Caenorhabditis elegans: one gene and its partner. The protein of the gene in region 2 purifies or fractionates together with the protein of the main gene of each other region. This does not show direct contact. Each region holds a gene or a part of one and is shown on either strand. Other genes may lie near its edges.

Evidence for each region. Proteins that work in one complex are often made in the same cells at the same time.
Region 1: the proteins of acs-14 (region 2) and got-1.2 fractionate together in Caenorhabditis elegans (co-fractionation; one large-scale study listed by BioGRID). This does not show direct contact.

The regions. Positions count from the first base shown.
Region 1 is NC_003284.9:16,789,070-16,794,749, forward strand, and holds got-1.2 (Aspartate aminotransferase, cytoplasmic), read right to left. Parts: upstream 4,058-5,680; 5' UTR 4,044-4,057; coding exon 3,646-4,043; intron 3,458-3,645; exon of another isoform or gene 3,381-3,457; coding exon 3,010-3,380; exon of another isoform or gene 2,963-3,009; coding exon 2,654-2,962; intron 2,605-2,653; coding exon 2,456-2,604; 3' UTR 2,278-2,455; downstream 1-2,277. UniProt on the Caenorhabditis elegans protein: Biosynthesis of L-glutamate from L-aspartate. Important regulator of levels of glutamate, the major excitatory neurotransmitter of the central nervous system.
Region 2 is NC_003283.11:9,504,513-9,512,359, reverse strand, and holds acs-14 (4-coumarate--CoA ligase), read right to left. Parts: upstream 4,229-7,847; 5' UTR 4,227-4,228; coding exon 4,017-4,226; intron 3,901-4,016; coding exon 3,789-3,900; intron 3,736-3,788; coding exon 3,408-3,735; intron 3,175-3,407; coding exon 2,979-3,174; intron 2,931-2,978; coding exon 2,652-2,930; intron 2,577-2,651; coding exon 2,189-2,576; intron 2,143-2,188; coding exon 2,021-2,142; 3' UTR 1,982-2,020; downstream 1-1,981. Other genes in the region: haao-1 (3-hydroxyanthranilate 3,4-dioxygenase), read right to left, coding at 5,377-5,431, 5,477-5,562, 5,611-5,725, 5,777-5,891, 5,934-6,164, 6,428-6,671.

The sequences.
Region 1 (5,680 bases), on a different chromosome or scaffold from region 2:
CACTGGCAAAACCCACGGCTCTCCATCTTCCGTGCGATAAGCTTCTATTGCAAGATTTATTTTCACAGGGCAAATTTCTTTCTGGAAGAGTTCCGATGTATGGAGCTCTTTGATTGGCGAAGCAACATGAATTCCATCAAAGAAAGATAGCCGCATATTTTAACTGAAATTTATTTGCTGTTTAAGCTTAGATAACATTAACCCTTAGCCTAAGATGGACAAAAAAGTCACGTAAAACTATGTATAAGAATGGCCACCATTTCTGGGTCAGTTGAACTACACAAGTACCAAAAGTTGAATAGTTCCATGCATAACACGAAATAGAAAAATGGGAGTTTTTTGGAGCAGGTGGCGATAAGAAAACGAAATTTTAATTTATAGCTGACGTTGAAAAAAACTCTTGAACTCAGAAAGTGCAAGAAACAAAATTTCTGGGACTGCAAATTCAGTACATTTTATACTTTGACTATAAAACATTTTTGTAGCTCACTGTCTTCTGAAAAAAAGAACTGGGAGTACTTTTTTTCCTTAGCGCAATCCTGTTTATATACGGTTGCAAAAATCGTTATAGCGTTCGCAACATGGTAATTTTGTTCAAGAATCAAAAAACTGCGGTACTAAGTTTTTTTTTTTTTTAGTTTATTTTTTTTTAGTTTTTTTATTTTTTTAAATTTATTTAGTTTAACTATGTAAAGTTTTTCTGTTCGTTTGAAAATGAATTTGTGTTCCTGATTACTTCCTGGCACGTATTCACATTTTCATGGTGAATCGAGTCTGGTGAAGATGGGCGTACCCACGGTTCGACATGTTGCTGGAATTCTCGTGCTTTTTGAAAAATGAATATGCCGTTCTATTAATTTTGTAACCCCGTAACAAATGAAAACCGTTTTGTAACGGGGTTTCTTAGTAATAATATTGGGTATAAGTACAACAATAACAACCATAATAACAATATAATAATAATAATAATAACAATAACAATAATAAGTACAACCGCTTGATAATTGAGTTTGCCATTTTTAGAGCAATGGAAAATATTACATTGTCATTTTCTATTTATTAATTGTTATGATCAAATAAAACCTTTTTCATCCTTCCCATATTCATTGGTAATGATTACTCTATTTTTTTCCATAAAACAACTACTTGATGAACGATGTTACGGCGAAACACGAAGGTTCGAAAAAAACTAAGACAGCTTAAAGTGCATTGCAATAAAAAATGATTTATCACTTGATTGACGTTGATAAGAAAATAGAAGCCTACCTCAACTTTGAATACTCCGGGAAATGAAGTTCGTGTAGATGAGAATGCGAAAGTTTGACGTGGTCAGTTATAGAATTAAATCAGTTTTTCAAACTGTAGTAACAAATATTAACAGCTGCTCGAAAAAAAGTTTTTAAACATGGTGCCAGGTGGTCAGTAATACACTGTATTTTGAAGCATATGACAGAAGTTGAAACACTTTTTTTTCAATTAACTACAAGAAAATTACAAAAATAAAATAAAGCCTAGTGATGATTAGTATTTGCACCATATATCATAATTGCTTGAACAGAAAACATTGTTCATAAATCCCCGCAATTTTTTAACTGTCTTTCACACTCCGGGTCATCGAAGTTTGCAAGACGTAAGCTTTTCAGGTAATGGAACACTGATGTATCCTTACCTGTACACGTGATTTCAGAAAGTTGGAGAGCCGTTTTTGAATTGGTGCTCCGTTCAAATTGACTCTAAAAGTTATTCACGAAATCCACATATAGTTGAATGTTTTTTTAGTATTGTGGAATAATTTTAAAACAATTATTCTAAATACTAGAGAACCATTTTTAGTACAAAACTGATTATTTTATCCCATCCCGTTGTACAACGTAACAGAAAAGCATAATTTGAAAGTTTCTCGGAGCACACTTTCAATCCAATGAACTGTAAAGAAAATTGTTGTAACAAGATTTTTCTCAAATTTTGCCACATGACTTCGAGGAGACTGAAAAATTTTAACCAAATCGACAGGTGTCTAAACAATAGATAGATGGCAAATATTCTTAATCTAAACTTGGGGTGACCAGAATTACAAACTTTGTAACAAAATGTCGTAGACTTTTCGCACAACAGTTTTAGTTTTATTTTTGTTCCGGCAATTCTGATGTTCCTCTTGCTTCCATATGCCAAAAATCCGCTGCTTCATGCATTATGGCAGTGTATCCATAATTGTCGCGGTTAGGAGCGAATATTTTATGAAATAGTTCCCCAAGTAAACGTCCACATCACACGGATAATAATAGCAATGATTCATTTTCCATTCAAGAAAAAAAAGTAATCGGGTTAAAATAAATAAAAGTACACACGGGAAATTAAAACTAAGTGCATAGAAATACTCAATCTACACTTAATGCTCAAACTTGAAGAGCACAAAAACTCAATTTTTCACATAAAATTCATAAATTTCAAAGCTTTAGATGTTGCTCTTCACGGCACGCACAGTCTCATCAATCGCCTTGGCGACATATTCCACGTTTTTCGTGTTAAGACCACAAATGTTGATGCGGCCGTCTCTGAGCAGGAATACTTTGTGATTGGCAATCAGGTGATCCACTTGGGCAGCTGAAAATTAAGATTGTCCTCATCAGAGTGTTAAAAAAAGCAAACTCACAAGTAAGTCCGGTGTAGCTGAACATTCCAATTTGTTGAATGATGTGATCCCAAGTTCCAGGAGTGCCAAGATCCATCAAATGGCGCAATAAGGCGGCTCTCATCTGCTTGATACGAGAAGACATCGCTTGAATAGACTGGTTCCATTGTTCACGGCGAGCTGGGGTGGTGAGCACCTTGTGCACAATTCTTGCTCCATGTGCTGGTGGATTGGACCAGTTGGCACGGATAACCAACGACATTTGAGACTGGAATCCGGCAATGACAGCTGGATTGTTGACGACGACAGTAAGGTTTCCGACACGCTCGTCTGAAATTTTGAAGTATTTTACTTTTCATCTTCTATTCAAAACTTACTGTAAAGTCCAAAGTTCTTGGCAAATGATTGGGACACAACCATCTCCATTCCCTGGTCTACAAAGTAGCGGATCGCCCAGGCGTCCGCAGCTGGATCACCAGATGCGAATCCTTGGTAAGCAATGTCAAAGAAGGTGAAGAGGTTCTTTCTCTTGATCACCTCGGCAACCAACTTCCATTGCTCCTGAGTTGGGTCCATTCCAGTTGGGTTGTGAGCACATCCGTGAAGAATGATGACAGACTTCTCTGGGGCTGACTCAAGATCGGAGAGGAACTTCTCAATGTGCACACGTTTGTTATCATAGTCCCAGAAGGTGTAGTCGGCGACGGTGGTGAAACCAGCCTTCTTGAAGACAAGCTTGTGATTTCCCCTGAAAATGATAAAAATTCATGATTTGATGAATTTCGCCCAGCATTATCAGAGGTTCAGGAAAAGTACCTTACACCTCTTTGAAAGAGCCTTGCTGAAACTCATTTTTTACCTAGATTACCTAGGTTTATGGTAATACTGCCAAGAATTGGGCGGCTATTTTAAGAAGTTGAAGTTCTGGTTGACTGCTACTCACTCTGGCCAATACAAGACTTGTTATATTTTATCAGATAAGTATGTTTGGCTCCGATTTTTCGACCACTTACCATGTTGGGTTGCTCACGTAGACGGTCTTCATGTTACACACTGAAGCAAGAAACTCGGCTCCAGCACGAAGAGCTCCGGTTCCAGAGAGACACTGTACTCCAAACGATCTTTCCTCCTTGATAGCTGGCGATTCGGCTCCGAGGACAAGCTCGGTGGCAGCCTTGCGGAAACCCTCGTGACCGAGAACTGGAAGATACTCGTGATTGAGCGAGGTGTCGTTGGCGATTTCGACTTCAGTCTCATGAACGACTGGAAGCACCCATGGCTGTCCCTCCTCTGTGCGGTAGGCTCCAATTGTCAGGTTAACTTTGACGGGAGCCGTCTCATCGAGGTACATCTTGTTCTTGTGGAACACCTCGATTGGTGGAGCAACTGGGATTCCGTCAAAGAAGGACATGTTGAGTGTTGTTTCTGGAATTAAAAAAAATCAATAAGTTTAGTTATAGAAATTGAAGAGATGAAAAGAGTGGCGGTATGCCGCAAAACGCGATAATGAGGTGTATTTATATAGCGAAAGAGATCAAAATCGAAAAATGACCACGTTAAAAGGAGGTCACCTCATCGACATTCGAGAGGATTTACTTGGAAACAAAAAACGTTTTAGGTGTTTCCAATAAAAATCGATTTGATGATAAAAATTATTATACGATAAGAAACGTAAAACTTTCTACTTTCTTATTTTAGCACTCAAGAAATCAACAGAAACGTGTGTTGATAAGACTACGGGCCCAGTTTCAAGACTGAACTAGATGGTTACTTTCTATTGCACCAAAGTCGACAGTTCACAACAAAAGTTACAGGAAATTTTGCCTAGTTTTCGGACAAATTGAGGAAAGGGGGTCTCAAAAACGGACTGCCTCTTCTCGACAACTCTTTCTCGTCGGCCCGCCCTCCAATAAGCACACACTATTTCCGAGAAAACAACACATGCGGGTAGAAAACGAGAGGCAGCGTTGTTGTTTGCCAGAGACGTTTTTCGAGACGTGACCATTTTGAAAATTTTTATTTCGAGGAAAACGTGATGGCAAGGTGGAGAGAACGGGCAAAACGCAGCGCAATGAGATCGAAATGTGTCATTTGTGAGGGTTTCAAAGTGTTCTTTGATAAGGCAAATTACTTTTTTGAAAATTGAAAAAAAAGATTGGATATTTATCTAGGTTAATGTAATAAGATCCTAGGAATAAATGAAATTATATCAAAATTCCCTCACCAAAAATGAAAAACTATTTTTTTTTTTGAAATTTTCTAGTGGAAGTTTTCTTCTGTTTTTGCCTATAGAAAAACCTTGAAAGAGCTGATTTTTTCAAAATCCCTTTACAAAAGGAATCAAGGTTAACCTATACAACTACCTCGTGAACTTCAAAGATTCAAAAACCAAACGACCACTTCAAAAATTATTGGCAAAATGACCTTTTGAAATGAGTGATGGTGCGAAACCGCCTAGATAAATAAATATAACAATCTCACGTGGCCAGGCGGAAAAACATGTTTATGTAAATTTTCGAAACGAAAAATAATCGGTTTTCTTTTTGGGGTGATGATGGCGGGACATGATGAAAAGAAATGGAACAGTATACACGAGAAAATCCAAGTTGCTGGGTATTTAGAAATATGGATGAGAACTAAACAACATTCCGCCCGGTAAACGCCTTTGAATGAATGAGAAGTAAAAATGAAAAAAAATCACAGAAAAATATTCACCGTAATGAGAATTTGCATACAAGATTTCCGGTAGAAAGAAGGGTGAGAGAAGAGGTAAAGAAAAAGGCGATAAGAGGCGCCTCCGGGCCGCCTTAAAGCCTCAATTCTACGTGGCGAAGTTCTCAACAAAGTTTTGTAAAATTTACGACAACTAAAAATTTTTTCAGCACATTCTGATTTATTATTTTAGTCACCGACTTTAATGGGTGGCCTTTAATGATTTTGAAGTTAATTTGAAAATTTTTAAAATCAATAAAGATGAACATGGACATGGATTTTTCACAAAACTAACAATTAAGAGGCAACAAAAACAAACATAATGATAGTTGTTAG
Region 2 (7,847 bases):
TATATAACAGAGATCTAAAATTGGAAACATTGAAGTTTTAAAAAGTTTTTCATTACTCAATAAATTAAGCCAACCCTGCCTTAATTCAATATTAAAATAAATACGATGAAACATGCATTTAGAAGTTTTTTTTTTCAGAAAACAAAGCTTTGGAAACTTGAGAAAAGAATCATCTCCATAAAGTCTAATATAGGGTCCAAGAAATCTCTTTGTTATATTTCATGACTTCCTTGTTCAGACGTGTAACTTTATTGTTGTACCAAGAGATCATGTGACAGATGACATTTTTCTAGTTTTTCTGAAAGCAGGGAAGTGCCAGAGTGTAAGGGAAAACTACAAATAGCTCGTAGTTTCTTATTAGTGAGTTGGCATATGTTACCTTTTATTTTTCGCATTAAATTTTTCTGAACACCATTACTTCCAGACTACTGACCATCAAAATTCATTCATCAACGAGTAGTGAGTAATATTTATGTATAAAATGAGCTTAGGTGTAGACTGCTTTTATTTTTGTACATGCATAATACGGTACGGTTCACATTATAGCATGCTTCTGCTCGGTTCAGTGAATTTTCAAAGCTAACAGTACCGTCATCAACTCTAAGATCATCAAACCGCTCGGAAGATTCGTTTTAATATTGTAATTTAGGACTACATAAATATCTTACAGAATCAAGTTTTGAAATTACGCCAACCATAACGATTTAATAATCTTTGCAAGAAACTTACTAAAAAATTTAGGAACCAATTGTAAAAACGAAGCATGCGAGAAATTTGATGAGGTTAAACATCAAATGAATGCTCTTGCTGAAGAAACACGTAGCAGCTCACAATATGCGTAAGATCAAATGATGGGATATCATAAGTAAAACAAGCAGAGCATATATAAACATATTCAAAAGATCATAGGTAAGTTAAGATCGTAGGCAATCATTGAATAAGAACACATGGAAAAAATAAGTATAAATACTACTATTTTCTTCCAAACTCTTCAAAATCACATCATCATAAAGGTCATCAGTGGGGATTTTCATAAACACTTTTTCGAAATAATCGAATTTTGTAAATTTTGTAAATTTTAAGTTTTGAGTTTGAAAAATCCAAATATCCTGGTTAAACAATTTACAAAATTTGTACTTTTTTTTCGACTACAAAAAATATCCTAAATGCTTTCGTTTTTAAAATGTCCAGTCAAATTGCCAAATTTTTGAAAAATTTGGACTTTTGAAAAACCCTCAAGAGTGTCTCTAGAATTTTTAGATATAAATAATGTAAAACATTATAAGAATATAACATTTACAGAAATGTTTTTAAAAAATATACTCTTGCCGACTTGATAAATCAAAACGCCACTTTTTGACTGTCATTTAGACTAATATTACATGGTTTACAACGATATATGGCCACGTCAAAATCAAAAGAGTACTTTTAACATTTTTCACAATATCTAAGCTATACCTTTGAGCAATCTGTACATATTCAGCTGTTCACTTACTAGTAAAAGTCATGAATAAAACTATTTGCATAAGGGCAATTTATTTTCACATGAACATATTTTTTTCCATTCCCATGTTCCGATAGTCAACTTCATATTCTCAACCAACTATTCCCATTTTCCTCTTCTGCTATTTCAACCATCAATGATTTTTCCTGTATTTCTTCTAGTTTCCATTATTTTTCCACTCATCTTCTGCCAATGCCGTGATCTTCATCCAAACTGTGATTTGTTCAAAACTCTTGATCTTTGTACATCAGTTAGTTCTCAAAAAGCAATCATGAAATACAATTGTGCGTCTTCTTGTGGATTTTGTGGAAAGCAAGCCGGAAGTTGTGTGGATCGTTTGTCAAACTGTGCCGATTATAAATCTTCAGGACTTTGTGAAACTGATGATAAGCTACGTATTGAATATGCTTGCCCAGTTACTTGTAATGTTTGTTCTACTCCTGTATAATCATTCAATTACTTTGAGAAAAAACCATGAAAAATTAATATCAATAAAGTTAATGTACAAAAAAACATTTAAAGCTTGGCTGAAGAACGATCTCTCAAGAATCGTCTCAAAATCTTTCCAGCTGCGGACTTTGGAATTTCTTCAATAAATTCGACACCACCTTCGAGTTGTTTGTAAGGAGACACTTTTGCTGAAAGTATTATAGTTATACAGAAAATGCACTATTCATAACTTACGTTTAACAAAGTCCTTAACTTCTTGTTCAGTGAGAGTGTTATCAGCTCTTACAACAAATGCTTTAGGTAATTCTCCAGCTTTAGCATCTGGGATTCCAATAACTGCACAATCTCTAATCTTTGGATGAGATAGAAGAAGATCTTCAAGTTCAGCTGGTGGTACTTGAAGCCCTTTGACCTTGATTAGCTCTTTAAGTCGATCAACAATAAACAAATTTCCATCCTCATTGAGATAACCAATGTCTCCAGTGTGAAGCCATCCATCGATGACAGTGCTGGCTGTTGCTTCTGGTCTTCCGAGATACCCAAGCATAATTGTTGGACCACGAACACAAATTTCTCCTCGTTGGTTAACCGGTTGCTCTCTGTCGGTTCCTGGTTCCACAATCTGAATAACTTTTGTATAAATTGAATACTTTTGTTTCCTTTTAAACATTGAAAAACTTGATTCGGAAATTCTCACCTTCATAACCAAATTTGAAGCAAGTTTTCCAACGGATCCATATGGTTGATCATTTCTTAAATCAGGAAGATGACTAGCCATTGAACATTCCGTCATTCCATATCCTTGTTGGATGTATTTCAAATTTGTATACTTCCTCTTCAATTCTTCAATCAAATCCTTTCCAGCTGGAGCTGCTCCCGCCATTATCATTTGCACTGATGATAGATCAAACTTATCGCAAATTGGATGCTTGGCCAAGAAAACCATAATTGGTGGAACTAGGCAAAGACAGCGGACCTAAAGAATTAAATTAAAAATGTTATTTATGAACTTTTGATTCTATACTTTGTAGTTTTGAACGGCAGTCAAAAAATTATTCGGCTCAAAATGGCTCATGACAATTCCAGTCATTCCCTTGAGAAGACAGTGATTAAGAAGACCAAATCCATAGACATGATAGAATGGAAGAAACAAGAGAGCTTTCTCATTGTAGCAGTCCCAATTTGGATCAAGAACATCCAAAATGTGTGATTTATCAATTCTGAAAGTTGTGTCGTATATGAACCTAATTATATTTTCGTTTTTTTTCAATTACTTTTCAAAAAATGTACATAACGTTATACTGATTCTTCTGTATTGATCTATGAAATTGTTTTCTTGGCCCTTATCTTTTTTTGCGTCATAGGAAGGTTAAAGTGTAACCATTTTACTGTTAACTTTGTACTTTCACACCTATTCTGTCTCATCATCATCATCTTTAAATTTCAAACTTACGCAAGATACATGGAGATCATGGATGTAAAATTGTAGTGTGATAGCATAACACCCTTTGGTGGTCCAGTGGTACCACTCGAGTATGGAAGAACGAGTAAATCATTGTGAACATCAATTGGAACTTGTGGTAGAGCAGTGACTGGAGTTGAAACCACTTCATTCCAAGATACAACTCCTGCTGGAAGAGAAGATCCAACTGGTTTTGGGATGACAATGATCTTTTGGATGTTTGGCGATTGCTTCACAGCAAGAAGAACTTTTGGAAGAAAATCTTCGTAAGTAAAAACAACCTTTGCGCGAGAATCAACAAATTGACGTTGAAGCTCATCTGAAAACAGAAATTGCGGGTTGGTGAAAGTAACTTTCATCAATTTAACTTACAGTCAGTGAAAAGTGCACTAGCTCCAGATACAGCTCCACCGTTGATGGCACATCCAATGAAAAATGAAGTATAGTGCCAGACGTTTGGAAGAACAACAGCAGCAACATCTTTCTAAAAGATATCAAAAATTTAAGGCATTGTCTTGAACAAATTGAAAGATTTTTGAAATACTTCCTTTCTCTTGTTGAATTATAAAATTCCCAAATTTTTAACATAATGCCACATACCTTGAACCCAATGCTATGAAGATACATAGCGACAGCAAAAGCATCCTTACGAAGTTGTTCAAAAGTAATGAAATGTTTTGGATTATCTCCGCTCACAAATGCAATTTTATTCTTTCCATCGGCAATTGTTTTATCAATTGCATCAAGGAGCATCTCATGGTACGGACGCTCGGAAATCTTCACTGGTGGATATGTAGAGTCGTGTGGCATGGCTGAAGTTTGAAAAATAAATGAATTTAGCAATAACAATCAAAATATAAGAACTGGGCAAGAGGACAGCATGGGTAGCCTACAGTGTGGCCGAAGGTCAATTTAGAAAAAGATAGAGACTGATAAAGACGACAGTTGATAATAGTAAATAGGAAAACTACAGTGCTTAGACGTTATAATGTGGTCCATTTATTGTAGTCTTTGTTTTTTGGCAATTTATAACATTGATTCAACTGTTGAGGAAAAACCGTTAGAAAATTAAAAAAAAAACCACATGAGCGCGGGAAATACTTATCATTTCAGTTTCCGATGCTCATAATCCTAGACAATTTCAGTTAATACTCAATGAAGACAACGAAAGAAAAAGAATAAATGTACACAAAAAGGGCATATTAATGATAAGGGTTGCAAAACGAAAAATGGGCTATGAACAATAAAATAAAAGATCTGTAATCGTAATCAGATGTTTTTAAAGATCTGAAACTTGGATTGTACGTCATTGATCATATTAAAAAGATGCTCAAAACAAGGAAGTACTGGCCAAATTTCAACAATCAAAGTTCTCGTGACGATTTGACAGTAAAAAATGAGGTATTGTGAACATTTTCTAAATTATAGTTTTTTTCCAACCGAGAAGTTATTTTAAGTTATTATTTTCAATCTTCCCCATCAAATTTAAAAACAACCCCTTTGAAAATTACGGCTAAAAGGCATTTATTATTTTTCTGCTAAAAAATTTTCGGAATGAGTTAACGTTTTTTTTTCTAATGAAATAGAAATCATACTAAAAATAGTTATGTAAACTAACTACAAAACAAAAATTGGATTCTTTGTATTTTTAACCAATTTTACAGTTTTTACAGTGACATAATTTCCTGAAACGAACAACGAGGTCTGAAAGTACAAATTTTCTGAAGCTTTGAAGAACATGATGGTTTTGCTGAACCGACAGCGTGTGTTACACGAGACATTTGACATCGATGATAATGAAACGGAATTGATGTTATCAGTTGGCCACGATTGCATGTCATTCATTTTGTTATAAATCAAAATTGAAATTACATTTTGGAATAAAGATAGAAATATTGAAAAAAGCATTCATTCAATCAGCCTATATGGAAATTGACTTTTACAAAATTGAAAAAAAAAATTATGCTGGCATTCTGATGGTGATAGCAAATCCTCCTTTGACATTAAGAAGACACCTAAAACAAAATTATTTCAAAGAACCTATAATTCCGTATTCTTACTTTGTGTTCGGTTTTATCCTAACCATGGTCTCCGATTTCATTGCATAAGTGAACCCGCTCTCTTCTACGACCGCAAATGTGTTTTCCTAAATGATACATGAATTTTTTTTGGGATTTTTCTGTTTTTGCCATACCTGCAACCAAATTAGCAACTCTACAGTTCCACTTTCCAAATCATAAGATCCCTCTCCTAGCAACATAACTTCAGTTTTGTACTCAGGTGCTCCATAAATTCTCACTGGTCCGTTTCTGAAAACTTCTCAAATTAACTATCCGAAACAAAACCAACTAATTTCTTACTTCACTTCACTGATATGATCATAGATAAATTCTTTTCTATTAATAGGTACGGGTAAATCAGTCCATCTTGCTTCGTATGGAGCATTGCATGCAAATGTTCCTTTTCCTGGTTTACCTGAAACAAAAAATCGGTGAGCTCACACAACTACAAACCAACCAGTTTTGAATTCATTCGATCCATAAAATTCTTTGATTAATGGAGGTAAATCCTTGACAACATCAGTCAAATAGAACCATCTTTCAAAGAGTGTGATATTGGAAGAACCAACAAGAAATCGAACACAATCAAATTCAGTATTCTTTCGTTCACGTTCAACGACAAGACCAATAGAGTTGGAAAATCTTTGAGGTGAATGTTCTACTCTTGCTGGCAACATGAACATTTCCCCTGAAAAATAGAGAGCTCAATTTTGAGTTTTGATTCAGATTATCTAACATTTGTGAAAAAAATAATTCCAAAAAATTTTTGACAACACAGATTTAGTTTCCGTTTATAAATTGTGAAAAATTCTCAATTTTCAGTCTAAATTTTTTGTTCATGGAATTTTAATTTAAAAAGCTAGTTAAAAAGTTATCTAAGAAACCATGTGAGTTTGTGTTATTAATTAATTAATTTACAAATTCAAAAATAAATTTTGTGATGAATCCTACCTTGCTTGATTACTAGATCACGGACTTGACCCTTTTCAATCACTTTCAGTACCATATCCCCTTTTCTCTGGAAGAAAAACTCTTCTCCTTCTTCCAAATGAAAATCTTTTCTTTGATTTGGTCCTCCAACGTAGAAAACTTTCAACTGATCCGAGAACATACACTTGTTACAAACAGGTGGTACAAAATCCTCTTGATTATCTTGAATCCATTGTGGAATCTCAATTGCAGTAACTCCGCTCATTGTTATCACAGGTGGTTCTGCCAGTTTGAGTTGAGGCTTCTGTTGCTCTTCGGTAGAAACGGAAGTCGTACAGACTACTTGCTCCTGATGCGAAATGAATAATTTAGTGGAGGTGAAGCAACTCATCGATTGACAAGGGAATTAGCTCAAGACGAATTGGTAGAGAACTGAGAGATCGGGTTGAAATTGAAAAAAGACTGGAATATATGAATGGCAAGTAAAAGTGACATTTTGACCTCTATAATTATCACAAGAAACGAGAAACGGACAATAAATCGTCGAGAAATACCAATACAAGGCGTTCTTGGGAACGCTTTGAAGTTCAAAGGAACAAAGCATTCGTACCCACCTATTACAAAGTTATGCATGAGAACACATTTTGTAAGTAGTCAAGTTGCCAAAAATTGATTTTAAGCCATAAAAATAATCCTCAGATGCCATAAAGAGAATATGAAAATTTACATAATTTTGAGAACGGCAGTGAGTGTGTTCAGGAATTGATACGATTATGAGCTAAGTACAGTAATCCCCAGATGAAAATTTCGAATTCAATAGAATGTTCAGAGAGTCTCTAAAAGGTTTGGATGTAATAAAAGAGATTAAGAATAGATAATATAATAAACGAATGACCTTCTTTCATATACACCAATTAATAATATAACCTGCCATTCTTCTTACCTTCAGTTTATATTTCTCATATAAATATTGCAGTTTATTGGGTTTTTTGGAACATAAGTTGACACATTCCATCTCCGAAACTTCTCTTTTTCTAACCTAAATTATAAAGCTAAAGTCATAGACGATCGAAGAATTTGTCAATTCGATTACAGTAACATAGACTAAATCACCCACAAAAAACCGAAATTTTTCAAAAAATTGTATGTGGTTGAGACAAAGCGGTGTTAATGTCCGATTAACGCGACGAAATGATAAACGTGCAATGTCACATCTTCTTAATTTCGCCCATCTTCTTCTTCTTATTTCCGTTTTTTGTGTCTTTTTTACATTTTTCTTATTCTCGTATCTAAATCTCCGTGATTTGCTTATTCTTCGCTGATTCAAGTGTCGCTTTTCAATTCTTGATTAATGATAAATGTTTGACCGTCTTAAGGAACTGGTACCCGTTTATTTCGAAAAATTGAGAATTGGGAGTGGGAGGAGGAGAGAGAAGCAACA